4 linked regions of the Nothobranchius furzeri genome follow. The protein of the gene in region 4 purifies or fractionates together with the protein of the main gene of each other region. This does not show direct contact. Links are inferred from orthologs where the notes say so. Each region holds a gene or a part of one and is shown on either strand. Other genes may lie near its edges.

Region 1 (7,433 bases), on a different chromosome or scaffold from region 4:
ACTGAGAAACTGCATGCATGCAGTTTGTTGTTTTGCTGCTAATACAGTAGCAGGTGCAGCTGCATATTTTTACAATAAAAATGTTATGTTGTAATGGAATTCATGCATTAGTTTTTGTTTGCTTTCAACCCAGAGCAGACGTCACATGCCAGACGACATCAACACTGCATACTTTAGTATTTGTTCATTTATCGTAATATCGATATCGCATTATTAAGCACTTTTTTCCTAATATCGTGCAGCTCTAGTTTTTACCATCCTTTCTACACCCACCATGTCCTGAACATGGAGAAATAAGCTTTGGATGATGTGTGTAAAGCGTGTTTACTCTGATGAAGCACACGGACTCTGTTGCTACTGCAGTGTCACCTTCTTCCTCACTGGACGAGTGAATATCTTCATCAGAGGGTGAATGTTACTCTTCAGAATCTGAGTCAGCCATTATCAGACAAAGAGCTTCGTCAACAATGAACAGACCTGTCAGTATTGTAAGTTTCTCCTCTAATATATAATATTTGCCCTCTGTGTGCTCCGCTCATCTTTTCTCTGTTGGGAATCTCCAGACGGGGTGGGGGTGAAGGGGGTATTTCGGTTTTCGGCCATGTTTTCCTCATTTTCTGTTTCAGCCAAGAGTTTTCATTTCTGTGCATCCCTAAATTAAAATCTTCTATTCAGCATTGTGTATTTGCTTCAGCAAAAGTGTTTTCAGACAGGTGGAAAGCTTTCTAACAAGCCTTTCACTTGCACCCCCCCCCCCCCACACACACACACACACACCACCCCTCCAATAGATACACCATCTGATATCTATGCAAGGCTTTGCTCAAAAAACATTTAAGTCTTTCATGGCACTGTTAAAGCTCTCATTCACTTGCTTTTTCAACAAATCTACAGTGTTCTCTGGTATAAATGAATACCTTGTGAGATTATTCTGTGGAGAAAAACTCCTGTTTTAAATGTAGTGGTTAGTTGGAGGAGTGGGGAGGGTGCAAAATGACAGGAATATGAGTCTTACTCATGACACGTAAATCTCGCGCTTCTTTCTTGAGTAAATAAAAGCAACGTAGATGTGTTATCTCTGCAAATCACAAGCCTGAATGTGTTCCACCTTATTGTGTAATAGCTAATGGTTCGTTTCTACTAGCCGAGACATTTGCTGTTCTCTCCTGGCGGCCAAAATGAATATAGCCTTCGCCCGCCGCTGCAAATCAAAGTAGGTGGGGCCATGAATTAGAGCTGGACAATAATTCCCTTTTTCATTATAATCTATCAGGTAGCAGCATACTAGACTCACTACTTACTCCTAACCAATCAAAACCACAGACTCAGGCACGCTACGTCACCAGGCCCTCCCCTTCTCAAGCCAAATAGAGTAAGATGTCTCAGCGAGAGGTGGAGAAATAATTAAAAATACCAAAAATAAATTGGCCAGGGCCAGTAAAATATATTTTCTACAATTTTTTAAAATATTTTTCAATAATTATCTATATCGATCAATATAAAATTATTGTTATCGATATACTGTTTTTCTATATCATCCAGCCCTACCATGAATGCAAATTTTCCCTGCGACATACAGTGCGTTTACATGCATCCAGTAACCCTTTTAAAACCCGAATATTCACAATAACCCGGTTCCGCAGGTCCGTGTAAACACCGCCAGAAACCCGGATATGCTCATAACCGGGTTTTTAAAAACCCGGTTACTACACCTGGGGTAACCCTTTTCTAACCAGAATGTTTGGTCGTGTAAACGCATATCGGGATATCCACATCAAAGCGTGTGTTCTGCGCATGCTCTGTTCGCAAGGAATCTTGGTCTTTTGAGTAGCAAGACGTCTTGTATGCGCCAGAACACCGGAAGTAAACAAGTTGGGAGCAAAATGGCGAGTCGCGGCACAGCACCACACTTTCGGAGTGACGAGGAAACTAAAGCGCAAACAAACGCGGTCGCTATCTCTTCCGAACTGGGAAAAATGTTGTTGTTTTCACGGATACCGGAACGAGAAGAACCGGAAATGACGCATATTGCGTCTGGACGTAGTCCACACGTCCTGACGCTACCCCAACCTCCGCATTTACATCGGGTTATGCAAGTTAGGGGTAACTCTTTCTATTTGTGCTTGTAAACGGGTTATTCTGATCAACTCAGAAACCCGAATGCCGACCTTAACCCGATCATAACCCGGATATTGGCTGCATGTAAACGTAGTCATAGAAGAGCCTGGCTTTTTCTGACCTGAATGATTCTCCATTTGTTTCTTTTCTGCAGCTAATACAGGCAATGGGGCTTGGAGAAAATCTTTCACAGTCAGCCTACATGTGAAACTCAAGGAGTTAATGATCACATTTGAAAAACAAGTATTACAGTTTCCCAGTTAACGAGAACTTTAATACAGGTTTTTAACAACATCAAACCTCACCAGAAGTCACAGTCTATTCCATATCCGATCATATCATGAGCTGTGAAAAAGCAATCATCAAAATGTCACTTTATGTTGGTTGATTTTCTGTCTTTCACCTTCCTTTAGGAACAATGTTCTGAAAAACATGTTATGCGACAATAATAACAAGACACAGTCATGTGGATTAAACAAAGCATCAGATAAAACGCTTTGTTGTAATTAAGTCAATGAAGTTATTCAAATATAATCAATTTACAGCATATTTTTCTGACAATTTAGTTCTGAAAAGCTTCCTCGAGGAGTTGAGAAGCTTTATTTTACATTAACACAATCATTGACAAGTTTGCTAAGTGAATGTGACATAGTCCTGCTTTTTCACACCCTGTGATATCATCAGGGACAGAATTATTTTTATAACTGAACCCCATTCAGAGGCTATCTTTTGGCTCTGTTTTTAGAAATGGTGACCTTTGAATAAAATCCTGTCAAATCAACACATAATACTCACTCAGATGTTCTTTGGTTAGTAGTAATTGAAAAATCACAACAGGTTGTGACTGCATTCATTAGTAAACAAACAGGGGTGCAGTTTTAACTGTCTGAAAATGACTAAATTAAAGTATTAAACTTCATTTTTACATGCCTATTTATACTATGAAAAAGTATGATGGTGACAATGATGCCTGAGAGCGTAGAAAATGGGACAATTACAAAAAGCAGGAGAATTCTAGGTCAGGAGGATAAATGAGCACCGTAAATGATAAGGATAGAGAAGAAGTATTTAAAATTTACCAGGGATTATGGACTGCACAGAATTAGGCAGAGCAGTCTTCTGTCACCCTGTGAACTTGTTTGGAGCAACAGTTGGTTTAAAAGAAAGTCTTAAGTTTCCTTTAAATTGTTAATTATGTCACAGATTGTTTAAAGAGCAGGTAATGAACCAAGCTACACACCAACTTTAGCAGGTTAGATAACCTACAGCGAGCTGACACATCACTCTTTATCACTGCCAAGAAACAAAATCAGTGTTAGCCTGACTATAAACGTGTGCTTGCATCCATGTTTTTGTCCATAACATATGAAAAGTCTCCTAAGAGTCTATAGGTTTAATATAAACTGTTCAATAAGGACATTTCTACTAAAAGTACATAGTTACTTTCTCAGCTGAGTTTCTCATTCAGTTACTAACAGACCGTCATTAAAAAGCTTTTTCCTCAAGTCATTGAGCTGCCACAATGTTCATCAATGTCCACTTAATTAGCAATGAATTTAACGCTAAGTCTGCCAGAAAACAACTCTTTTTCTGCTGCCAACATTGGCGGCACTAGCATAGTAAAAACGTTACGCCTAAAGTGAATAAACCCGCAAACAAACCACAAAACATCTTGTTTTAATGCAATTTTAAAACCGCAGCTCAGAACCATAACGCTTCTTTACGAGCTGGCCGGGAGCGGTAGGCCGCCTAGACGTTCTCATCGCCGGATATCCACGTCACCACAGCTCGAGGCTCCAACGGCCTATCCTTTCCCTGGCTAACTTAAAATGGCGGTGAATGCTAACAGCCGGAGTGTGAAAAAAATCCATCCAGGTGGGTTAACAGTTCTGCTCAAACGAGCCTAACCATCCAAATAGACATTTTCGTTTCCCTACCTTTAAATTTGAGGTCGCAGGGAGGGTCTAAGATTAAAACCTGATCCGGCTTGGACATTTTAGCGAGTCAAACGCTGAGTGACTTCTGGTCCTGAAAGGCGCATCTGCGTACAAATACTTCACCGAATCACCGCGCGAGAGCTCAGCCCTCCGCGGCGCGCGCCGCGTCCTCGTGGCTCTCTAACAAATAAGATAATCCTGCACTAAAATCATTAAACACTGACATGTTTAGAGGGAAGAACATCTGATAAAACTGCACAACAGTCCTGATTTGACCCGCACAAAGGTGAACGCGAGGTTGCGGATGATTGTGATGTGGTGCAGTTTTGTGAAAGAGTAAAATAACAAGTCTAAATTCATTATTTTTGTTTCAGATTTTTCTATTTTGTGACAAATAAGCCAAAAACAGACATAACACAAACGAAAAGTCAACAGAATAGGGAAAAAATAAAAATATATTTTAACCAGTAAAACAGGGGTGTCCAATGTGTGTCCAGCAGGTCTCCGGGTGATTTTTGCCCTTTGTATTTTCAAAAAAAATAAAAATAAAAAACTTTTTTTACTGATAAAAGGCCTAACAACATTTCCAATAAATTAATTTTTTTGAAAACTGTTATTAAAGTTCTACTAAATTATTTTATTGCGATAATTATTTTTAAAGGAAGAGGCAGTTTTGACTTGCTTTAATCACCCCTTAGTGTCCGTTTAGTAGAACCAAAAGCAAAACTTATCTCCTCGCTGTGCGTTCGTCGTTTTAACACCATCTAAGAGCTGAAATGTCTCCCCAGCCTTCATTAGTGTCTACAGCAGTAATGCATCACTAAATCAAACATGTCAGCTGTGTTCATGATCTAATACATACAGGAAAAATGCTGGCAGCAGATTACAGCGCCAGGTATGTCAGCTCAGTTTTTTTTTCCAGGTCCAAATCTCTCTCTGCAGTCTAGTCCAAATGACCAAACTGCACTCTGAAGTTGCAACTGCAGTACACTGGCCTCAGAGAGTGGTGGGGGTCTGTGTGACATTTCATGAACCCTGTAAAGGGTCATTTTAACACATACTGGCTCATGAAAATTATTACAAATCATAAAGTTGCCTAGTATGCGTTTAAGACCAAGAAAATCTATTTATCAAATGTAATGTTTTTGTTTTACTAATGCAAACACAAGATCCCTTTACTGTCTGGACACTTTATTCCACTTGCACAAACATACAGTAGGTGGGCTGTCATTTCAACACAATAAAAATGTTTGTTTTATTGTATTTAGCATCTATCTTGTTTATTTTAGACCTCAGTTATACTCTCAGCATCCAGCGGGGGCAGCAAAGTAGGAATTTCATCGTTCAGCTGCTTACTGCACATATAACAATAAAGCTTTTAGCGTTAATGTCTCATAAATGCAACTTTTTTTAATTAAAGCTTTAATATTACATGTTTATTGTGTTGTTGAGCAGGTCAAAATATTTTTTGTAAAAGTAATTACTAAAAATATCCTAGATTTTTACTATTATCTTGGCTATTTTAGTTTCTGGTTTGGGCATCACTAGATTTTATTTCAAAATAAATCACTCTAGGACTTCTTAAAATAAAAATATGCATTTTTCAATTCAAAATGATAAACTATGATTTCCTCGACGCTTTAATATTGCTGATATATTTGAATTTGGCTACAATTTAATCCAAATGAGTTGAAATTTCCATTAATTTGTTATGTCACCTGATTATCGTAGTTTTAAAGATCTACGTGATAGTTAGAAAAGGGGTTTTATTTCATTAATAAAATTTGTACTGGCTGCTGATGCACCGTCATTTTATCTTTGGCATATTGCTTTATCAATTAGATAGGATTGTAATCTTTTTAGACATGCCTCTAATTTATGTCCTTCAAAAATAAAGGCATGATGAAAACTAGAAGAAAGAGTACGATTATAATTTTATTACAATGTCAGTGACTTCTACACAGAATACATGAGAACAAATACTTGCATACAAATGAGGTTAAATGGAAACTATAGGCACTTTTAAAGATATGGGTACCGTCAGACTGCACCAAAAGCTGATATTCACTTTTAGCCATGTCATACATTTTTAAGAAACAATAAAAAAGACACATGTGTGAATCTAAACAGCATTTTAACAAAGGAGCATGTCCATAAGTGTAACATTCAGCTTTTAGGTGACTTTCACGTATCGCTTTAGGGGAATAACTGTTAGACATCGGGGAAACACCGTAGTCACAAGTCTGACATTTACTCAGAATAAAATCTGATGAGTCTAGAAAACCACGAGCGAAAGGTCACTGCCAATCTCGCTTCCAGAGGTTTGTGTTGAACGTTTTCCAAGTGAAGAAACACAGTTTGGCTAATTAATGAATGGATTTTGGTGTAAACTGTCCACACTAACATCAGCATAGATGGGCGTTTATAAAGTATTTTACTATAAATAAGAGATTTCATTATTACATCCCACAAATTGATAAAAAAAATAAGTTGTTTGACTTTGCAGCACATTCAGATAGAAAAAAAGTGTTTAACATTTTTTTTAAAGTACATATTTTTTGTTTGTATACATGATCCAAAGTTTAGGGTCCTATTAACACAGAGTTCAGGTAGTACAAAAACTATCTCATCGAACTGGACTTATTTGCTGTAAATTACTGTCTGCTCTTTAAACAGTAAATACAAGCAAACTCCAAGTTTAGCTGCTGTTTGCTGTAGCCAATTCTCAAACAAACAGAAAACATGTTTATCAAACCATTATGTAAACAACTAACACTGGTCACGCCGTTGCAGCAGTTAGATGTCATGATGTGATTAAGATTTCAGCGTTTTAACAGTTTGTTCCGCAGCTAAACAACGGAAATAAACGAGTGCACGTGAAACGCACACCTAAGGTTTTTACATCTTACTTTAAAACATTCTGCGCCGACGATCCAAGGATCGTGGAAATGTTGAATATTAGTACTGAACTATGACTTTAAATGACAGAGCTCATCTCTGAATAGCTGGTGACTCCAGAGGCCTAAATGGAATTGCACAAACCTCCAAACCTGATTTATTAATCCAAACCACTAAAAATGCAGTGTTCACGCTAATAATTTGCCCTTTGTTTCACAAATGGAACAAAGCTGCATGTTTTATATTTTGGAGATGTTCTCAGATGGACAACTGCATGTAATTCAGTCAGAGCGCCACTGGAGGGAGACAGACTGAAGGTTTTAAGTCACAGGGAAACGTGCTTGCAGGAACTGTTGCTTTGACCTCCATGGCGCTGGAGCAGAGGTTGTTTCATCCTGTTTTTGACCTCAGACCATCCACGTGTTGTCACTCTGAAGACTCTGTGTGCATCGTGGACTATGTGCTCCGCCTGCGTGATGA
Region 2 (7,538 bases), on a different chromosome or scaffold from region 4:
CCGAGAGCACAATTGCTTTAACCCCTGGACTACCGAGGCCAACAGAACAGCAGACTTGCCTAAACGCTGATGTAGGTCCATTTTGTCGGAGCGGGTGTGGGCGGAGCTTCACTGAAACAAACTAATTCATTTCAGGGTTAAAATTCAGGCTGACCATAATAAATCATATTTAAGATAAATAACATCTCAGTAGTGCCAAAGGTAATATTTTAATACATGCTGTGCCAATATTTGCTCTCAAAGATTTAAAGTAGCATGATGTGGCTCATTTAACAGAACTCTACAGAGTTTCTTACAAGTAGTTGAGTCGATTTAGAGTGAGCGGAAACGCCGCACCTTTAATGTGCTGATCTCAATGGCTTAGCCAGCCAAAAGAGAGACTGGCACTTTTTAAGTCCATTAAAATGATGAAAGCTTGTGCAACCAACTCTCACTCCCAGAGCAGTAGTCAGATAAACTATCCAAGTGAAAAAAAAATAAAAAATAAACTTACACAAACAATGCATTTAATCTATGGACTAATTTTTGTAACATTAACAAAAATCATTCAAAAAATTAGAATAAAGGTTTTGCCTGCTGCTCAACACCTTTCACCCGCAGGTTTTAAACAAAACATCTAAAGTTTCAAAAGGACCAAAATGACAAACCAATAGTGCTGATTAGCCATCTAAAAGCTGCAAATCTGCCAACAAGCTAGCCTTTAAATGCTAACACGGTCACAGAACACACCCCTCCTGTTGGGTATCATCCCTAGGTCATGTCTGCTGGAACGGGAAACCCACCTTGCCAGAACAAACGAGAAAGTGCTAAACACCATTTGCCGTTTCTTAAGTCCAAACTATTTACAAATCTGATCGTTTGTCCTAAATTTGAAGTGGTAGCAGCCGGCTGTTGCTCCTTCTCTGATATAATTGAGCGGAGAACCGCTCACACCAGTGGCGTTCTGTTGCTAACTACGCGAGAGCGTAATGAGTGGAGGAGGGAAAGGCGGTTGTCCAGTTAGACAACAACCGGATGATCCAATAATTGGTTTCGAACCAAGCCGTGTTATTGGCTGAGCTTGCTTAATTTATTTTTTGTTTAATTCTTTTAATCTTCACAATATATTTATAGCTATACAATGTTAGAACGTTGCTGAGAGGCAGATGAAAATCCAACAAAGACTTTTTGAAAGATTTATATTTGTCCAGTGGTTCATAAGATGTTTTGGTAAGGAACACACACCCTGACAGGCAAATAGACTGCCCACCTTTCTGAGGTGTACAACCAAAACCTCAAATAAGTAGAAGAAATGAGTCAAACTACTGACCAAACAAATGTTAAAGGGATACTAAGCAGTTGTGGCTTGCTTTTAGCACCCCCTAGTGTCTGTTTAGAATAACCAAACGCAAACCTTATCTCCTCGCTGTGCGTTCGTCTTTTTAATACCTCAATCTAAAAGCTGAAACAACTCCTCAGTCTTCCTTAGTGTCTACAGGAGTGATTCATCACTAAATCAAACAAATCAGCTGTGTTAATGATCTAAAACATGCAGGAAACGTGCTGGAAGCAGACTGCAGCTTTGGCATGCCAGCACCACTTATACTTTGTCCAACAGGCACTGGACGGGCTCTCTGAAGTTGCAAGTGCAATATTCTGGCCACAGAGGGCAGTGGGGCTCTGAATGATATTTCATTAACCCTGTAGGGTCATTTTAGCACATACTGGCTTAAGAAAACAATTTAAAACATGAAAAAGTTTCATAAAATGCCTTTAAAGGAAATTAGGAACTTAAATCCTCGAGGCAAATCTAGAACACAAGTCACACGACTGCAACAGACAGTGTCAGTATGCCTCAGGGCAGCTGTGGCTACAGCGTAGCTCATCACCACCAGCATGTGAATGAGTGAATGACTGATTGTGTTGTAAAACACCTTGGGGGTTCCAGGACTCTTGAAGGCGCTATATCAAATACAGGCCATTTACCATCTGACAACAAATGTACCCTAACAGCGCAAAAAAAGAAAAAAAATGCTCCCACGCCCTCAGACGGCTGATATTTACCGTTGATTTTATATATCTTATCTTATATATGTATGTAGCGGTTTTTAAGTCAGGCACAGCCGTGGGCAGTCTGGTGCTGAAGCAGTACATACATTTATGTTCCTGAAAAAAACTAAAAGTCTGCTTAATAAATGCTCAAAACAATATTGTTAACTGACTTTTTATTCACTTGTTTTGTTTATTTAATGCGTGGTCAGTTCATTGATTTGTTTAATGAACTTTGGTTAAAAGTTGGATTTTAATGCAGAGCACATAATTAAGATTCAACAGCTGGTTATTCAGAGACCAAAAACTGATCGGGCAGAAATGTTGTGCATCAGCAGTTATTAGTGACATTTTAGCAGGTGAAAAAGACAGAAAAATGTCAAAATGTCAGTCATGAAAGGTGACGCAAAAAAAGCAGCACCTGTCAGCTGGTATCGGTGATAAAACCCCACATCAGTTGATCTCAAAGTCAGAGTTTCAATTGTTTCCCTCCCCTGTAAATCTGTCCCCAATTGAAATGATCAGAGCGGCCATCTTGTACTCCCATTACCTTTGACGTCTGCAGAGAAACGCGCCGAGTGTCTGGAGACAAACAACTTCAGCTCCTGGTCCAGGTTGCAGTCAATGAGGTTGGTGTCCCATGAGCGGATCCCTGCAACACACACACACACACACACACACACACACACACACACACACACACACACACACACACACACACACACACACACACACACACACAATTTGTCCTCTGGTTCTGGTTCATTGGAAGACCTTAGAATAAACATGTCTAGACTTGTTACTGATTTGATGTAAGCAAAAGGAAAATCTATACTAGGAAATATCTATATCGCTGCTTGAGCCTGACGGTCATCATTTTCCTGAGTCATCATACACCCTCTCCACATTTATGCAGTTTAAATGCTTAGTGGTGGCCCAATGAGACACAAAAAATATATTTTTTTCTAAGGAGGAACGTGCGTACTTTTGTCCAGTACACTGCACCCAAAACAGATTGCAATCATTTCGTTCATAAATATAAAGCAAAAAGTCCAAAGATTCAAAGATCAAAAGATTAGTTTGAATTTGTTTTATAAGCTAACATTCAAGAAAATTATATATGTTAAATATTAGTTTATAAACCCGTAACCTTCATTCAGTTTTTGTGCTAAATTGACTCTCCTTTACATCCACACAGCTACTGCGCCACAATCTTCTCGCTGCTTTCTAACAAAGTGCTTTCTGGCCTGCAGGCAGCAGCAGCAGCTCTGAACGCCCTGCTCAGCCTGAAGATAGGTCCTCGCGGGTTTCCGTAGGGACCGCAGTGCGGACAGGGCCACGCCCACAAGCCGGTGAGGGATGAGAGAGCTGGATGCGGGAGGATGGTGTGGATGATCAGGGAATTGATTTTAAAACAGATCCGTCAAAGCGGATGAGAAATTTTAATCTGAAATGAGAACACAAAGCGCACACGCACATCCCCCTCGCTGTCTCCTCCAGACTTTATAACAAAAGCCTGACGCGCCTGAATCTGTCTGTAATGGATCATCACAGAAAACGCGCAGAAATGCGCCAACAATGGCACCAAACAGGTGCAGAATCACCCCTTCACACGTGAGGATGACAAGAGAAAACAAGAAGATGCAGTAAGTAAACTGAGAATAACCCATCGATAATCTGTGCGTAATTGCGCCGTGCGTAAAAGCGAACAGGTGTGACCCTAATTTTAAAAGCCATAAAGATTCACTTTACGGCTTTAAGACCTAACTACTCCCCCCCCCCACCCCCACCCCCCACACACACCACCACCACCCACCCCAAATAAATACATAAATAAAGCTCCACCACCTTTCTCTATGTCTGCAATGGCACACTTGAGGTGATCCTCTGTTACGATCTCCCCGATCACCACCAGCAGGTAGAATTTGCTGTCGTTGAAGTGCTGAGGGGGGCTGGAGGAGGTGGGAGACGTCCCGGTGTGGCTGTGGATGCCTAAAGTCTCCATGTCTGCAGATTCCACTAGCGTGGCCATGCCGAGTCTGTCTGTCTCCTCTTCCTCGCTCAGACGCGTTTTAGGTTCCCAACAGCAGCAGAACTCTGCCTCCTCCCCTCCAAGAGTCCAGACATGCGAGTGGAGCGGTGATAGGAGTAGCCCTAGCGTTTTATACCGGCAGACATTGTGTCATGCTCGGTTACCAGGGAGAGACCAGGGCGCACACACTCATTCAACAGCTGATGTCATCGGCGACGCCTCCGGAAGTCAGAGGAGGGATGCTTTTAGGCTGCACTCCCATCACTTTTCCCTCACATCAACATTTTAACAAAGAAACAAAACTTGAAATTATTATTTTGGGTTAAATTGGAACAAGTTTTGAACAAAAGTTAACGTGTTTTAAAAACCTAACTGAGCAAGGGAGGACTGAAACACGTTCAGAAACTGCATTGTGAGAAATATAGTTTATGACACCGTTTTATGTGTCCTTTGAGTTTTATAATCACATTACCAACGAAATACAAAAGGTGAGCCATAATGTTTTTGCATGTGTGTTTGGTTTTTCTGTCGGACTAGAAATCTCATGAACCACTTTATGAAACACACAGGAAGAAACGACTCAATGCACCTTCTGGATCTAATCAAATTCAAGATGGCCACCATAGTTACTCAATATCATACCACATAAAATGGCAATACATTTGCAGATAATAAGCTACAATGTAGTGCCACAGTAGCTAAAGCTGTCATTAACATGTTTTTTTTTTCCAACACATTCGCAGTGGTCCATCCATTGCTTGTCCAGACAAGGTCACAGGGGGCTGGTGCCTATCTCCAACAGTCTTTGGGCAAGCAGGAGGGGCACACCCTGGACAGGCCAGTCCATGGCAGGGCAACACAGAAACACACAGAACAAACAAACAAACAAGCACACACACACACACACACACACACACACACACACACACACACACACACAAAAGGGCTATTTAGAGGAACCAATCAACCTGACAGTCATGTTTTTGGACTGTGGGAGAAAGCTGGAGTACATGAAGAGAACCCACGCTTGCACAGGGAGAACATGCAAACTCCATACAGAAAGATCCCAAATTGGGATTTGAACACAGGACCTTCTTGCTGCAAGGCAACAGCAGTAGTCTCTAGTATAAATGAATGACTTGTTAGTTGTTTTCTGTGGAGAAATGTACTGTGCTCCTTTAGCCGGAGTAGGAGGGATCAGAAAGAGGCAGGATTTGGAATCTTAGTCATTCATTTGATATTCAAACATCTCACCTCTGGTTGGCTAACAGCAACGCCAGGCTTCCACCAACTCTGTTAAATCTGCAACGTTTATTTCCAAATATGACACAAGCCTGAAGGAGTTAAGCCATGTTGTTGAGCTGCTAATGCTAATGGTTAGCTTCTACCAGCTCACACGTGCTCTGCTCTCTCCTGGACACTAAAACAACATCAGCCTTACGGGTTATAGCGTGTACCCCCTACCCACCAACACCAAGTTGATCCCCATGTCAATCAATCAATCAATCAATCAATCAATCAATCAATCAATCAATCAATCAATCAATCAGAGTAAAATGTAGCAATGACAATAAAACAGAAAACTGACGTCTCTTTTTATAGAATCCTTCATTTACACCTGATTTCACGTCCCTGTTCCAATAATCTGTTGTTAAATATTCCAACAGGAAGCTCTGAGGGACTCTTTGGTCACAGGAAGTCTTCACAAAACAAAAGAGCTGATCAGAGAGGAGGTTAAAGATGGTCAACTACAAACCAACAGGAAATGAAAAGGACTGAGATCACAAGCTTCCACTGCCGTGCATTAGCTGAGTGGAAGTGTGATTTCCTTTGATGTAAACATTAAAGTTCTTCTTCCCAGGAGGAGATTCTAGTGCTTCAGTGAAACAACACAGGTTTCACATCTGTTGAGATTCAACAAAACAGATGTGTGTAGCGATAAAGCGCAACACGCAGACCACCTGCTCTGGCTCTGACTGATGAAGGCACATCGGGAGAGTCCTGAGGTTTCTGGGCCTGTGGGTCCTCTGGGTTGTGGCATGGGTTTGGGATTTGTGGAGATGGGAGGATGAATTTTTGCCCGAGGCTCGTTGTTTCGTTTGTAGGTCCTGCTGGTTGTTCTCTTGTTAGGGGTTGAGCTTCTTCACAGCAGCAGTCAGGCTGAAGGTGGGAGTCACAGCAAAATATCCTAACACACCTTTTCATGAACTCATCAGCAGTTAAATGGTTGCAGGTATAAACACATAAAAACGTGCACACAAATCTTGAATCTGAGCCAGGATTTCCCCGTGGCGGTCCTTATTGATGTGACAGAGGATGGATGGGGGTCACCACTGGTGCGTTATTGACTCTCTGGGCTGCTGAATGTGAATATTTCAGGGCTCATGTGGCCTGGTGGGCAGGGTTTGGTCGCTTTCTCCCAAGGCCACGGGAGGCTGTATCAAACATTTATTATACACCACCGGAAAAGAAGAAGGCATTAAAAATACAACAAAGTGCCACCGGAGGTCTCAGATACAGACAAGGAGGAGACGGATGAGTGTGGAGGAGGGGGTTGGTGTTGTTTTTGGGGTGGGGGGTGCTTGATGGACACGACTGTGAGGGTTTTTTGCTTGCATGTGTGTTTTTGAATTAGGCTGTCGAAAGCTGAGCATCTAAGAATTTAAAAAATTTAAAAGAGCTCAACTGTTTACAGGTCGGATCCAGATCTCCTTTGGCTCTGAGCCTCAGTGCTTCTCTGATGTTCTGAGTTAAGCAGAAAAACACTGAAATTTATTAATAACAGTCATTTGATAAAAACACAAGTACCCGTAGGCTTTTTAGAATATTCAAGGTTATTTTTCAATGTTTCAAATTTCACATATCCGAGCTGTGATTTCAGATCCGCTTCTTGCAGAGAAACCCTAAAAGCTTCTGGTGTTACCGTTGTAATGTCCGGTAATGGTCAGTTTTTAAGTGCAGTTTGACCCTTCAATATCTGGTCGACATGGAGACACGAGTCTGCCTGTGCTTCCTTTAATCTGCCGGATCCTGCATCCCATCAGCTGGCTCAGAGCCTCTCTGCAGCTCTGAACACATGATAACGTATCGTCAACAGTCAAGTTCCCTCCTCAAGGCCCAAGCTTCCCTTATCGCTCTACAGGACTCTTCATGCCTATGAAAAAAGTGAACTCTCTCAGCTCAGATTAGTTGCTTAATCAAAGAATGAACTCTTAAATATAATGTGAACATTTAAAACTTATAGGTTAATTAATCATTAAAGAATAATTTGGTTGAGGAACAAATGTTATATGAACACTAAATGAAATGTTTTGATTAATCTGTGAAATGAATTTATATATGGATCAGTAATGTTTTTATATGACAAGGCCATCATCATCTACACTCACACAAGGCTCATCAAAGACAAAGTAAAGTTAAGTCAAACGCGTGACTCAGAGATATTTTCTTACCCACAAATCAGAACCTCTGTATCTGA
Region 3 (7,702 bases), on a different chromosome or scaffold from region 4:
TTTAACAAACAAGCACACCCACACTGACATCAACACAACAAATATGGCCCACCTTGTGCCCTTCTACAGTACTGGATAATAAATGAAAAACAGATTTGAAAGAAATCTCAGGCATACCTGAGAATAGGTGAGATGCAGCTGAGTCTGGTCCTTTAGGAAGCAGTTGTAGGTGTTCACCAGAGACAGAAACGTTGCTCTAAAATACAGAAATGTTAAACAAGGCAACAACAAAGAAGCAAGATGAAACATAAACTTTTAATTCAGATAAGAGCTAAAAGCATTGGCAAAAGAAAAAATCAAAACCTGGTGAGGATCCTCCCATTTCCTGTTTGGATGAATGCTGCGTTCATCTCTGTTCTGCTACTGCAGAGGAAAAGACAACAATTAAGGAGTAAACACCTCTTTTTAGTACACATAGCTACAAAAGGAAAGCAGGCATGGCTAGTCATGAAACAATGAAGCCAGAACACAAACACTGCAGCCTTGAGCAGATGAGTCCAAAGGCCATGCTGCTGCTCACGCTGCTAAATAAAGACTCTCCTGCATAACCGCAAACAAAGACGGCCACTGAAAATGGATTTATCACCAACACGGTGTTACTACTTCCAAACATAACCACGGAAATAAGAGTCTTACCAGCTCAAACGTGAAGATTTTCCTGTGAATTCAGCGTCTTTGTCTATTTCTTTCTTCTAAGCTTTAAATACCTTCATTCCTTCTGTGCTTCTGAAGTTTTTGTTATATTTATTCTTCTCTCTGCAGCCGTTGCTTCTCTCTTTCACTTTCTTTTTTTTCCCCTGCTCGTCTCCAAGAGATTTAATAACAGTACTCCACCCAGTAACCAGTGATGACAGCGTAGATTTGTTTACATTATGGTCAGAGTCGCTGAAAGCTGTGACTGGAAATCGCTGCTCTCTATTCTGTGTTCGACTGATCATTGGTATTTCTGAATTGTTGTGAATGTGGCAGCCGTCTGAAAACAAGCAGTCCACATGACTGACAGTTTCTTTCATCTTGTTTTGCCTCAGCCTGTTTGCTGGTTAAAAACATCTCAAATATTCAACAGTCATAATTATAAAACCTTCTCCACTCCCCTTTGACTGACGTTTCTTTTGTTTAATAGGATGAATAAAGAAGTGCAGAAAAGTGCAAAATACAGATTTCAGTGCAGCAATTCTTAGATAATGTAGAAAAAGCAACATGTTTTTTGAAAGAAAGCAACATTTTAGATCAATATTGCATCAATAAAATTATATACAGTGTGCTATATTGACATAAGCATGTTTAAGTCACCCTTTAAGGAACCAAATTTGCAAGTCAGTACATGGAAATTAAAGGTTTATTTGACATTTTACAATAAGAATCATTTTATTAATGTTACACAGTGCATTATTAAGCATTAATAAACAAAGGATCCTTTTGTTAAAGTTGCCATTATTGTTAATTAAGTGTCCAGCGGCAGTGTGTAGTTTCCTGGCACTAGGGAGCAGTCCATACATTTAAGGGTATAGTTTTACACCACATCACCGTGACTGTTGCTAGTTTAAAGAGACAATATGTAGTTTCTACCATTACTTTCTGCAAATATCCATCAAAATGTTGTTGAAAATTAATGAATTGGTGCCCAGTTGCAGAAAAAAATTGGCGGCTTTGTAACATATAACCATAAAAATCTGGTCTGGGCGACGCCATATTACTATACAAATGGTTACAAAACTTGCATCACTCAATGTTATTGTTTTACACATTCACCTGCTCACATGTTGCCAGTGGTGAAGGGGAGTCTGATGTTCTTGTTATTTTGCTAAAGTTTGCACTCCTCAGAGCTTTTTGACCCTAATGGGCATCTGTTGATAAGGTCTTACTCCAACACAAAAATACTGCTTTTAATGTAATTTCAAATTAAGTATTTTTTTTCCCTTTTAAAATCTGCAAAACATTTACCACTGTATTGTTTTACTTTTTAGTTATTTTTAAGTTTATTAAAATGTTTATTTTGCCCTACATATTAAGATTTAAAGACATTCCTCAAGATACAAACTCACAATATGAATAACTGCTGAGGCACCAAGTCATCTGTATATTTACATTATTTTAGTTGACATTAATCTATTTTTTATTTGTTATTCATCTCCTTTGGTAATCTGCCAAACAAAATACGACAGGCCAAACACAATGAGCACTGTGGGCTTTTTTAGGAACTAACAGTCAGATTTGAAAGAGAAGCTCAGATGAATTATTGAGAGCTGCATTCCATATCTGCAGCTGTTCAAACTGGTTGTTCTGTGGAACAACTTCCTGTAAGTGGATTCCTGAACAGACCTGTCCCGGTCATACAGACGGTCATACAGAAAATCATTAAAGACCCATCACACCCTCTTCATACTGTTTTCGAGTGGCTGCCCTCCAAACGCCGACTTCGATGCCCATGCTGTAAAACACAGAGGAGAAGTTCCTTTGTTCCCAGAGCTGTGCTTCTTCTTAATTCTCAGTGCAGATAGGGGGAGTGTGCATTACTTGTATGTGTGTGTGCATGTAGTTACGTGTGTGTGTGTGTGTGTGTGTGTGTGTGTGTGTGTGTGTGTGTGTGTGTGTGTGTGTGTGAGCCAAAGTTTTAATCATTGTTGGTCATTCACATGTGAGTTTATGACATGATTGTGTATATAGGTTTTTATGGGTTTTACAAATGTGTAATTTGGATGTGTTTTTAGAATTTAGAGATTTTAGTGCCGGCTGCTTCACAATGCTGTCTCGAATTGCCCCTCGGGGACTAATAAAGTTGTCTTGAGTCTTGAGTCTTGAGACTTGGATTGATGCACACCTAACATCGAGTTAATGTACTTAGCCTTTGTGCGTGTGTGTGTGTGTGTGTGTGTGTGTGTGTGTGTGTGTGTGTGTGTGTGTGTGTGCGTGTGCGCTTCAGATTTCCATATCATGCATGAGAAAAATGGCTACCTGAGTCATGACGTCAGAAAAGCCTTTTGATAAAGGAAACACCTTGAGCTCTAAATGTAGCCAATCAACATACTCACTGAGGTGTGTTCATTTTTAGAACACTGACTGAAAAGATCTCAAGCTCTTTTATGAAAAGCAAACAAAACCCCCACATTTTGGTTTGCCACTGGACCATTCATGCAAGAACATTTTTGTGTTTTGGTAGCAAATGCAAATTTAAACTGGTGACCAGCATGAGGAAATGGTACCAGGCCTGTTGTGGCTGCACTCGGCTCTTCCACATGCTGTTAGATTACAAGTAAATCTTGTCTCCTGGAACTTCAGCCATACAATCAAATAAATGACACCAAACAAGCAGAAAACATTGTTTGGCAGAGAATTTTTGGCATTATCGTTGTTGGTTAAAACCCACAAACTCAACTGTTCTGCTCAAACAATAAATACATTTTCTGGCTCCGTTCAAAAGGAATTAAACAGAATTAGATTCGCTGTCAAAAGTGTCAGTTAATTAGTAATTAGAAGTATTAATGCATTAATTATTACAATAAATAATTAACCAACCAAATACTTCAACTTTCTGCTAATTTAAACTGATTTTAGAAGTTATTTTAAAGCAAACATTTCAGAAAGCAGTTGTTGATGTTGCACTAACTGGTCCTATGGTGCTTTGTTGTTGCCTTTTAAAGATGATGTTCAAGTCTTTACGTGGATAATGACACACTCAACCAGTACGCACCCAGTCTCTGACTTTATGACCTTCCTTTTCCCTTCTTCATAGATTTGTCTTTCTGTTATACCCCGTCCTCATGGCACATTTACGATTTCTTGATTGCACATTCTGATCTGATTTTATTTGGGTCTACAGGTTTCAAACCTAGACACTTTGTCCGAGGGAACAAAATCACGATGGAACTCCAGCCATAATAAATGTCAATTGTGAGATAAACTTTTAAAATTACAAAATAAATGACACATTGACAATGAATTTGGCAAACATTTGTCAGTAGTTTAAGATGAAAATGTTTGATTCTTTTTTATAGAAAACAATAGGTGTACGTAGTGGTAGTAGCTCCAGCTAAAGCCTTCTAATTTGATTGTCAGAGGAACGCTTCTTCCTACCTGTGCAGTTCAGCCTTTAGATCTCCTATTAAATTGTTGCAGGTCCATTACATGTTTCGAGTCTTGTTTATGAATCTGAGTGACTGTGTTCAAAGGTCTGGTGTATAGTTCGTGTGGCGGGAGGTGAGCCTTTGCAGCAACACCGCAGCAGCTGGTTAATTATTGCAAAACACGTTGAGACAGCGTTTAGAGGGAGTGGCTGACTGACACCAGATATGACTTGCCTTCAGAATGTGTGTGTGTGTGTGTGTGTGTGTGTGTGTGTGTGTGTGTGTGTGTGTGTGTGTGTGTGTGTGTGTGTGTGTGTGTGTGTGTGTGTGTGTGTGTGTGTGTGTGTGAAGAAAGAAAGACATTATGAGCCACACATGACAGAAGCATGCTGGTGTGCATTCAGCTGCAAAATTAGAGGTAGAAAAAGGGCTCACATAGCCAACATAGAGCACTACATACCACAAAATGGATATTTATGTGGTGCAAATGTCTTTGTGTTTTTTTCACCGGGAACTTGGTTGATTTGATTTGATTGATTTGATTTTTATTGATTAGCATTCAAATATTCCAATGAATACAGAATAAAGATTACCACAAAGCAAGAAACACAAAACAAGGCTAATCAAAAGGTATTGGCTGAAGCATTTGCTTATTACGCCAACCCTTTTAAGAAAGATCTTTTTGCATGAAGCTCCTGGAGCTGCATGCTGAGAATAAAACAAAACAAAACAAACAAACAAACAAGCAAAACAAACAAACAAAACAAAAAATGTACACCTTAGATAAGTAACTACATCAAAGCAAAACAATCAAGAGGTTCAGTATTATTTTTGCTCTTTTCATTCTTGGTTTATATATTTTTCTAATATTCTATTTTTAAACATATTTTTAAACAAGGACAATGAACTACATCTTTTTAAATCACTGTCATAGCTATTCCACAGGTTGACTCATCTAACAGAAACACATCTCTGCTTTACAGTTGTCCTTATCTTATTTTTGTTAAAGAATTCTGTTCCCCTTAAGTCATATTGACTCTGTCTGACTTTGAACAGCTTCTGAGTACTGCAGCAAAGCAAGTTATTTTGTGCTTTATACATTATCTGTGCCATTTTATGAAGTCACAGAGAAAATGTCTATCTTTCACAGGTACACAACAACAGCTACACCTATTCACATTCTTAAAGATATTGGCCAAATTTTATTTGAATAGCATGTGTAAAAAGTATTACAGTCTCAGGTGTAAAAGGTTTTTGGATTTTCACAGCTGATTTTTTCATTATTTCATGATAATAATGCTATCGCTAATGCTAACAATCAGTATGTGCTAGGATCTACTTGTAACTAACTTTTTATACCTTTTTAAATCCAAATTTCTGGTACATTTGTTTGATTTCAATAAAGTATAAATGCCACGTTACAACACTCAATTAACTGCCTAGAGCATTAGCACTCTGCTATTTGCAGTGAGGACACACAAAAACATTATAAAACGGTTAAGCTGTCGTTTTGTGGCTGTTTCTAAGCAACCGTTTAATAAAACACTCCACAATCTCTTACCTGTTAGAAAGGGATTGCTGTAAACTCCAGCATTTTCCGTTTCAGCTCCTGTTTTAAGCCATTGATGACTGATCCACTTCTGCTGTCTTCTTTCAGTATGTCTTTTTTTTAATCGAGTCCTTTGTGGCGCCCTACATTTGGGACTTGAAAAAAATGTTTGTCTTTGTCCCGATTAGAGTGACTGTAATAACCATAGACCGCTTAGAAATTTGGCTTTTTAACACTGTGTCACCAAAGTAAATAGTGTTCTGCAGTGCCGGTGTTGTGCCATAAATCGACTCACTGCCAAAAAATGATTAGCTTAGTTTTGTCCAGTTCGGAAGTTGTTTTAAGTGTTGCTATTTGTCTTAAACGTTCACAATGAGGATATATTAATCCTTTTTGCAATATTTGCGATTGAAAGATGGTTTGTGGTAAGAACTGGCTTTCTTTATGTTACAGCCTTGATACTAAAAAATAAATAAACAATGTAAAATGGCGCCCTGTATTGAATGTAAACGTTGTATAAATGTAAATAAACAATTCTCCAGCGATTTGATTTTTTCCCCTTCCTTTCTTTAGTGGCTAATCATTTTTTGGCAGCGAGTCGATTTATGGCACAACACCTGTGGCTACTTCCTGACCCCCATCTGCATTTGGTGATGTAGATGCAATGTCATGTGAAACATAGCGATTGGCTACACTGTTAATAATTAAATAATAATAATTAACAGCAACAACAACAACAACAATAATAATAATAATAATAACAATAATAATGTATAAGTTGGATCACAAACCACTTTGAAGCAACAGGAATATGTATTTTGAAAGTCTTTGGGGCAAAATAAACGGCTTAAAAAAGTTGTGCCTGAATAACGGCAAGGGAACATTATTTGTATAGCACCTTACAACGGTATAAAACCGACCAAAGTGCTTCACAGATAAAAAATATACACAACATAAAAATGCATAAAAACTAAAGCTTAATAACTAACACTGATAAAACACTAAAAAGACTCTCATGCTGATTTAAAAGCCAAATCATGAAAATAGGTTTTCAAAAGAGATTTAAAACCAGACAGTGAAGAGGTCGACCTGATGCTCAGACGCAGAGAAATTTGAAAAATACTGTAAATCTAAAATGTTTTATGATAATCTAATTTAATTTACCAAGCATAGATAAACCTTGATCGTAAGTGTGGTTGTGATTCGGTCAGCAGGGGGAGGCAGGGGATAAGTGTTCAAAATCAAAACTAGATTTGGGTCAGAGGATTTGGACACAGATTTTCTGGTAGCCTTTTCTTCTGTGTTTTTACTTTTCATATTTATGAGAAAAGTCATTGATGTTTTCCTTCTCGTTGAATTAATCAAAGCCTTTTTGTTTAAAGAGACTGGTGAGTCATTATTCTGCAGACGTCTGAAAAAGATGGAGGTGTAGAATAGCTGTTATGTGTCTGAGAACAAAAACGCATCAACACAGAAACAAAGACTGAAAGAAACAAAAACCCTAAAACCAAAACCAAATGTATTGATATAGCACTTTTAAAAACAGCAATACAGCTGACCAAAGTGCTTCACAAAGGAGCATGAATTATCCGTAAAGATGACAAACAACAAAGAGTTGCAATGCAAAGATCCTAAGACAAAATACATGTAAAAAAGAGGAAAATCACCAAAACAATATGTAAAAGCAAGACTGTCAAATGAATATACAACAAAACAAAGAAAACCAACTTTATTTGACCTCCTCTGGTTGTTCAACATTCTGTTTGAATAAACTGACACAAATTATAGAATAAAGAAAGATAGTCATCACTTTTAAGGAAAAAGGAAAAAAAATACACACAACAGTTTTTGATTAACAAAAGGTGACATGTTGGTTTTAAAGAATGAGCATTGCTGTTGACTGCCGACAATAGTTGAGTCCTTTTAAAGCAGAACGAATAAGGGGCAAATACAGTGAAATGCCATTCCTTTCCTAAAATAAAACAGGATGTTCAGGCTGGCAGGCAACAGGTGGACATAAAGACTACCTCCTGGATTGTGTGTTTGTCACATTGTCATGCCATGAGCTACTGTGTGCATAGATGCTGGT
Region 4 (7,490 bases):
TTATTTATTTTCTGAGATAATGCAAAAAAATAATTTATGGTGATTTACTTTTTATTTGCACTCCTCAAAATAGGTTTACAGCATCAGCAGCCGACTGAAGGAACACAACTCGACACAAAATCCCCCCCAGGGCCCATAAATGACCCCAGACCTGATCTAGATTAACACTCAGAAACTCACAAAATCAAAGTCTCCGTCCTGAGGAACCTTCCAGTTGTCTGGGAAGACATTTTTGGACTGGATGTGGTAGCCCAGTTGCTCCTTCGGCTGGTTGTGGTTGTAGTTCTCCTGCTGCTGGGCCGCCTTGTTGGAGTCCTTCTTGTCAAAATAATCCATGAAGGACGGGCGTATGGGCTGCTGGGACGTGGCGTGCCCTGAGGAGGGAGGAAGGCGTTTTAATGACATCTTACAGAATTGCAGATTTTTTTTTAATCCGAGGAGAAAAAACACATTTTGCTTCTACTTTTCTCTCAGCGTGGTCGTTTTACACAGAAATACAAAGGAACGCCACAGCAGAAACAACTATTTTAGCTGTGATATTATCTGATGACATTATGAAGATAAAATGGCCTTTTGGGAAAACTTATGAGCAAATATTTAGTCTTTTTATCATGGGGTTCTACAAAAACTTTGTTTTTACTATTGGAAACAGTTGGAGCTCAAAATGGCACAGGAGCAATAAGTGACCAATAACACCCCATAATAAAGCCCAACAATGGAAAGACTGGTTTGCCCCACCCACTCAACCAGGACATGAATTTTTCATCAGCTGTAGTTTAGGTTAGCGTTGGCAGCAGCTCGGGCTAGCGTTGGCAGCAGCTTGGGCTAGCTTTGGTGGCAACTCGGGCTAGCGTTGGCAGTAGCTCGGGCTAGCACTGGCAGTAGCTCGGGCTAGCACTGGCAGTAGCTCAGGCTAGCACTGGCAGTAGCTGGGGCTAGCGTTGGCAGCAGCTGGGGCTAGCGTTGGCAGCAGCTCGGGCTAGCGTTGGCAGCAGCTCGGGCTAGCTTTGGCAGCAGCTCGGGCTAGCGTCGGCAGCAGCTCGGGCTAGCGTCGGCAGCAGCTCGGGCTAGCGTCGGCAGTAGCTCGGGCTAGCGTCGGCAGTAGCTCGGGCTAGCGTCGGCAGTAGCTCGGGCTAGCGTCGGCAGTAGCTCGGGCTAGCGTCGGCAGTAGCTCGGGCTAGCGTCGGCAGCAGCTCAGGCTAGCATTGGCAGCAGCTCGGGCTAGCATTGGCAGTAGCTCAGGCTAGCATTGGCAGCTGCTTGGGCTAGCATTGGCAGTAGTTCAGGCTAGCATTGGCAGCAGCTTGGGCTAGCATTGGCAGTAGCTCAGGCTAGCATTGGCAGCAGCTTGGGCTAGCATTGGCAGTAGCTCAGGCTAGCATTGGCAGCAGCTTGGGCTAGCATTGGCAGTAGCTCAGGCCAACGTTGACAGTTGCTCAGGATAGTGTTAGCAGTATCTTGGAATAGCATTGGCTGTAGCTCGGGATAGTGTTGGCAGTAGTTTAGGGTGGTGCTAGTGTTAGCTCAAGTAGCATAGCTGTGGCTAACTTTGTTCTGTAGTTAACATGATCATGGCCAGTGTCTATATAATGCTGAACTTGAAGTTGGTTGGAACATGCCAATAGGGCTTGCGACCACACGTGATTAAGCATAGCATTCTGGAGACGGCACAGACCTTTAGGCTGCGAGTTGCCCACATTTCCAACCTGACTCCAAGTTGGAGCCCTGAACAAATTTGCAGACATGCATCTAAATTTTGCTGCTGCCAGCTTCCATCCTGCATGTCAAAAATTTGAGACTGTTGCAGATTGAGCTTGTGTTGAATTTTTTCCCCAAAGCTTTGGTTTGCCTCAGGGAAAACGGAAGGTCAGAGCAGACAAAGAGCTGCTTTATAGTGAAGTGGGAAAACAAAAAGGTTGACGTGAAAGAGCACGTTTGTAGCATCAGCAGTCACGAGGGCATGGTTTTAACACTTCTTCCTCTTTGGAAAGAAGCCAGTTTTTCCGACACCATCCATTTAAACCAAAGTTAAAAGCCAAGTTCACGCAGCAAAGTGAAAGAGATGTTTAAATTCCCCCTCATTCTCTCAAATATGTGCTCACGTCTCATGGATCTCTGGGCTTCCTCCTCGTTTTCATCATCACTATTAATGACCATGGTGCCCAGGTCCGACTCCAGCATGGTGCTGTGCTCAATCATGGTCTGTGCCCCGTCGCTCATGGTGCTGGTGGCTCGCATGGTCCCCGCGCCCTCGGTTCCAGACTTCACCATGGTGTGAGAGTCCACCTCCGTCTCGTCCTCCTATAGGAGACAAACCCCTGCAGTATAAACGTTTTACTGGAACTTTATTGGTTAATGCACGTGAACAAAACGTACAGAGTTGTCCTCTTCCTCCTCTAGCTCTCTCTGCTGCTCCTGCTGCCTCTTCGCCTTCATCTCCATGGCTTCAGTGATCAGATCTCTCAGGATCGTGACCGGCTTGGCCTGGCTGATGAACGGATGCTGCGTTTCCACAACAGGAAAAGGAAATTAAATCGCTCAGATTGGAAGCAGGATTGTACAGATGAAGACCTTCTTGCTCCAACCTGTAGTAACTGAGTTGCAGTTGCTCTCTGCTCTGGGTTTTTAACCAAACACTTCTTTACAAAGTCTGTGAAATCGTCTGACCAAAGCTCCGGCTTCCGAAACGTAGGAGGGGGGTTGGTGGGGATCATAAAGATGGCCTGTGGGAAATCAAAAGTGGGAAAGTGTCAAATGTTTTCTTTTAAAACCCTAAATTCATTAAAAACTAAAGAATACGCACCCTCATAGGATGGATGTCAGCGTAGGGAGGTTTACCCTCAGCCATTTCTATGGATGTGATACCCAGAGACCAGATGTCTGCAACACAGTTGTAGCCGATCTCCTGGATCACTTCTGGGGCCATCCAAAATGGCGTCCCAATCACAGTGTTCCTCTTTGCCATCGTGTCCTTCAGACATTAAACACATACCATCAAAATTCAGCCAGAGATCGACTGAAGCTGGCATCAGTGCATTGCTGCAAACATTTGGCGACAGTGTTACCGTAAGCTGTCCTGCAACGCCAAAGTCAGCCAGTTTGGCGTGCCCCTCGGTGTTGAGAAGGATGTTTCCCGCCTTGATGTCGCGGTGGATCTTTCTCATGAAGTGAAGATACTCGAGACCCTTCAGTGTTGACTTGAGGATGGTGGCAATCTCCTCTTCTGTCAGCTGACGTGGGAAAAAAAGGAAAATACAAAAGTAAATCAGCAATTTAACCTATTTTATGAGCCAAGCTGTAACTTTTTAGAAACGCGCACCGTTTTGTTTCTCAGCCTGATGATGTCAGAAACAGAGCCGGCTCCGCAGTACTCCATGACTATCCACAGATCTGTGTTTTTAAAGTAGCTGCCGTAGTATTTCACAACATACGGGCTAAGAGGAAGGCAAACAAACGTGGTTCTAAAAAACTGGTGCAAAGGCGACTTTGGACAGTCTCATTCATTAGAATTAAAGAAAGTTGGGGTGTCACCTGTCACACTGCTGCATGATGGAGATCTCCTTGATGATTTCCTGCAGGTCAGACTCCACAGGAACCTGCTTGATGGCCACCACCTGCCCTGACTCTTTATGAATGGCTTTAAATACACTGCCATAGGAGCTGATTACACAAAGAAATGCATCTTTTAAGTGAAACTACTAAATAAACTATGATTTACACAGTAATTAGATCAAGTTAAAACATCTCACCCTTCACCAAGTTTCTCTAAAACATCAAACACCTCCTCCGGCTGCTTGGTCAAGCTGTCCTCGCTCAGCTTTTTCAGCTTGCTGAAAAATTCAGCAAAAATATTGTGTATTTAACACAATGTCTCTTTAATAATGGAAGAAAGACACAATATTTCTTTATATATGCACATCAAAGTTTATTTTATAGAGTAAACATTACTTTCTGTAGGAGAACTTGAGTGTGTGTTTATAACTTAAGAGGAATGATGAAAATAATTGATGAAATCTAGATAAAAATACTGTTTAAAAAAATTTTGAGATATTTTTGGTCTTTGATCATAATCTGGATTTAATGCAACCTAGTATCAATGTACACAAATTAAACAGATAATAAACAATTTAATCCTACTGTCTTATAAAATTTAAATACATTTTAAATTTAATTAACTTAAAAGGTGCTAGCTTAAGCTAACCAGTAAATAGATCGGTCCAAAATAAAGTAAACAGTTACTTCGAATAAATTATGATTTTCCTTAATACACATTTAATTTATTATATATTTTTGAAGCGACAATGAAATCACCCCCAACGACGCGAAATCCAAAAACGTCTAAACAATTAAACAAACCATAATCTCAATGGAGGTTTTAACCGGTTTTGTGTTTTTACTTTCTGCTTGTTTATCTCTGTGGAAAGTTTGAGAGAACTGAATTCGCTTAGCATTAGCATCCTGAGCTACCGCCTACATTAGCCTGGTGGTAAAGCAGAGGTCTCAAAGCAAACGTTCACAAACCTTTTAGGCGCGGACGGCTCCATGGTACACCAACTCGGAAACAAAAGTCAAACAAAGTATGAAAAAGAGAGCGCGGGTTTGTCAGTGGTAGTCAAGACGTGGACATTGTCGGCAGATTCGTTGTTGTCACAAACTAGTGGAGGAGGGCCAGCTGGGGGGAGCTCTTCAAATGATGGACATTCTTGTGTTCGACGCTGCGACAGCGCCCCCTGTCGGGACGGAAGCGCACTTTACATTGTTTTATTTTACAAAAACACAATTACGAATCAGATTGACAATGTTTGGCTCGAGTCAAAAACAAAAACTCTAAATAAAGTCTAATTTATTCATAAGGTCCCAAAAGAATACTAAATTAAGCCAGAATTTGTAGCGTAACGGTAATTGAAAAATGAAACACCCGTGTTGTGGATTTGCTTTCAAGAGGATGTTGTGTCAAGACAGGAACATTTTTAGTATAAAATATACAAAAAAAAATTCTTTGCTTCCAATTTTTAAAATCAGTTCAGATGTGTTTCGAATAATTCACAATGCCTCAAAACCGCTGGGTGACAGTAAAGGCACGTAAAGCGTGTCGATCGTCCTGTAAAACCAAGAAGAAGAAATTTGACGCAAGCGCAGAAACCCAATCGTAAAAGCGGATGGTTTAGTGTGTGAAAACAGTAAACATTTCCCAAATTACGCAGTTAAACGGTGAGTCATTTCGCTTCCTTTCATCAGTAATTAACTAAATGCATGTACACGGTTTAATTTGTGCTCTGTGCGTATACAGTTTCACCAAATTCAGAGACGTTTATGCAGTTTTGAGCTAATGTCCGGAGCACCATGCTGTTTCTGTTAGCATGCTAACAAGAAGAAGGGTTGTTGATGAAATGTTTACATTTCTGTCTTTTATAGAACAAAATGGACACACAGAAAGATCTACAGCCGCCCAAGCAGCAACCAATGATCTACATTTGTGGAGGTTTGCTGATGAAGCAACTATCATTGCAATTCTTGATGGTTTTATTCACGAAATATAGAAAAGTCATCAGAAAAATACTAGTTATGACTAATTAAAACATATTTCTTATTAGTAAATATTCCATTTTAGCCTGACAGCATGTAAACGTCGATTGTTAATGTGTTTGCACAATTATACTGTTCTAAATTAATTTTGCAGCAGTTCTGAAATACATTTATATGTCTTTATAAATGTATATATTTTTTTTTTATGCAGAGTGTCACACTGAAAACGAAATAAAGGCCCGCGACCCGATCAGATGCAGAGAATGTGGCTACAGAATCATGTACAAGAAGAGAACAAAGAGATGTATCCTTTCTCTCTCTCTCTCGTGTGTGTGTGTGTGTGTGTGTGTGTGTGTGTGTGTGTGTGTGTGTGTGTGCTTATTTTCCTTGACTCATTGATTCCAGTGGTTGTTTTTGATGCACGATGAAGAGGAGTGGAGCTGCAGATTGATCTTTAGTTGTTGTTTTCTGTTTTTATTGAGTCTGACCTTGTAAATAAACATAAACTGGGGCTTCAGCTTTCATGTTGGTGTAGATTCTCGCTCATTCGGGTCGTGGCATTCCTAAATTGCACTTCTTGCTGAAACATCTTAGAGCAGCAAGATAAATTCAGCCTTTTTGGTTTTTGGCATCCGCGGTTTGTGTCAGGTGTTCCTTATGTTATTTTAGTAAATAATAATGATGCATAAAAGTTTTATTTTAGAAAAATCAGTTTGATTTGACTGTTTTCTTTTAAAATCCTTTGTGGCCAGCAACATTAACAGGATGAAAACTCTTCAGTTAGTTTAACACATCTGCTAAATAGATATGATCCACAGTCATTCCTGAAATAAAAATCAACCTTTAGGATTTAAATTCAAAGTTTTAACCACATTTCTCTAAGAAGGAAAATTCTCATCTGCTGGCCAACAATTCACAGATTCACCAATGTTTTTTGGTTTGTTTATCTGAGAGCACGTTGTCGTGTTTATTTTAAAATTTTCATAATCTTGTTAAATTATGGGGTCTCATTTCTAAGTGAGACTTGTTTTAATCAAACATGCAAGAGAAGAAATTAGTAACAAGAATATTTAGTTACGAAGAAGATTGTAAAAAAAGTGTCTAAATAAAATGTGGAAAGAAAATCAGTTTCTCAAAAACGTTTGACTCAAAAATATTTAAGTGAAGAAAAGGTTTTTGTTAGCTTTTACAAATTCAATTCAATTCAAGTTTATTTATGTAGCGCCAAATCACGACAAGAGTCGTCTCAAGGCACTTCACATAATAAACATACCAATCCAGGTCAGTTCATTAAGCCAATCAGAAATAATGTTTCCTATATAAGGAACCAAGCAAATTGCATCAAGTCACTGACTAGTGTCAGTGACTATACAGCAATCCTCATACTAAGCAAGCATAAAGCGACAGTGGGGAGGAAAACTCCCTTTTAACAGGAAGAAACCTCCAGAGAATCCTGGCTCAGTGTAAGCAGGCATCCTCCACGACTCACTGGGGATCGAGAAGACAGAGCAGACACACACACACACACACACACACACACGTGCGCACACATACTCACACACGCGCACACACAAAGACACACACACACACACACGTGCGCACGCATACTCACACACGCGCACACACAAAGACAAGTAATGTGTCTATAGTTATATTGTGATGTCTTAGTAAATATTCTATTTGGTGAAAGATAAACTTTATTGTGTTTGTTCTAGTGGATCTATAATTAAACGGATAAACTAGTATTAGCACATCGCACGTCAAGGAAAGCAAAAAGTTATTATCAGGAGAGGGATAATGTTTTAGTGGTTAGCAGCAGTGTGCTAGTCGATGGCCCCCTCCATGAGGCCACCACAGCTCAGCAGAACATTGTTGTAGCTTCTTCTGGGGAGAAAAACACTTACAGAGAAAATAAAGTTAACAGCTGAAATTGCAGAAAATAATGCAGTTAAAGAGCAGATTGT

What was found. The genes of interacting proteins can lie anywhere in the genome.
Region 1: the proteins of stk3 (region 4) and vapal purify together in Homo sapiens (affinity purification with mass spectrometry; 4 studies listed by BioGRID and IntAct, counting the BioPlex papers as one, with this or other methods). This does not show direct contact. The link is inferred for Nothobranchius furzeri from reciprocal best matches to the Homo sapiens genes STK3 and VAPA.
Region 2: the proteins of stk3 (region 4) and map1b purify together in Homo sapiens (affinity purification with mass spectrometry; 4 studies listed by BioGRID and IntAct, with this or other methods). This does not show direct contact. The link is inferred for Nothobranchius furzeri from reciprocal best matches to the Homo sapiens genes STK3 and MAP1B.
Region 3: the proteins of stk3 (region 4) and rassf6 purify together in Homo sapiens (affinity purification with mass spectrometry; 4 studies listed by BioGRID and IntAct, counting the BioPlex papers as one, with this or other methods). This does not show direct contact. The link is inferred for Nothobranchius furzeri from reciprocal best matches to the Homo sapiens genes STK3 and RASSF6.

The regions. Positions count from the first base shown.
Region 1 is NC_091751.1:42,858,282-42,865,714, reverse strand, and holds the start of vapal (VAMP (vesicle-associated membrane protein)-associated protein A, like), read right to left. Parts: upstream 4,210-7,433; 5' UTR 4,114-4,209; coding exon 4,056-4,113; intron 1-4,055. UniProt on the Homo sapiens protein: Endoplasmic reticulum (ER)-anchored protein that mediates the formation of contact sites between the ER and endosomes via interaction with FFAT motif-containing proteins such as STARD3 or WDR44.
Region 2 is NC_091746.1:61,700,153-61,707,690, reverse strand, and holds the start of map1b (microtubule-associated protein 1B), read right to left. Parts: upstream 4,210-7,538; 5' UTR 4,061-4,209; coding exon 3,877-4,060; intron 2,681-3,876; coding exon 2,579-2,680; intron 1-2,578. UniProt on the Homo sapiens protein: Facilitates tyrosination of alpha-tubulin in neuronal microtubules. Phosphorylated MAP1B is required for proper microtubule dynamics and plays a role in the cytoskeletal changes that accompany neuronal differentiation and neurite extension.
Region 3 is NC_091746.1:44,754,383-44,762,084, forward strand, and holds the start of rassf6 (ras association domain-containing protein 6), read right to left. Parts: upstream 4,210-7,702; 5' UTR 4,075-4,209; intron 2,432-4,074; 5' UTR 2,431-2,431; coding exon 2,387-2,430; intron 768-2,386; exon of another isoform or gene 637-767; intron 364-636; coding exon 304-363; intron 197-303; coding exon 118-196; intron 1-117.
Region 4 is NC_091759.1:1,437,160-1,444,649, forward strand, and holds the start of stk3 (serine/threonine-protein kinase 3), read right to left. Parts: upstream 4,696-7,490; 5' UTR 4,545-4,695; coding exon 4,522-4,544; intron 3,831-4,521; coding exon 3,750-3,830; intron 3,661-3,749; coding exon 3,532-3,660; intron 3,435-3,531; coding exon 3,320-3,434; intron 3,231-3,319; coding exon 3,066-3,230; intron 2,972-3,065; coding exon 2,804-2,971; intron 2,724-2,803; coding exon 2,586-2,723; intron 2,503-2,585; coding exon 2,377-2,502; intron 2,302-2,376; coding exon 2,103-2,301; intron 375-2,102; coding exon 181-374; intron 1-180. Other genes in the region: polr2k (DNA-directed RNA polymerases I, II, and III subunit RPABC4), read left to right, coding at 5,422-5,482, 5,738-5,830, 5,932-5,954. UniProt on the Homo sapiens protein: Stress-activated, pro-apoptotic kinase which, following caspase-cleavage, enters the nucleus and induces chromatin condensation followed by internucleosomal DNA fragmentation.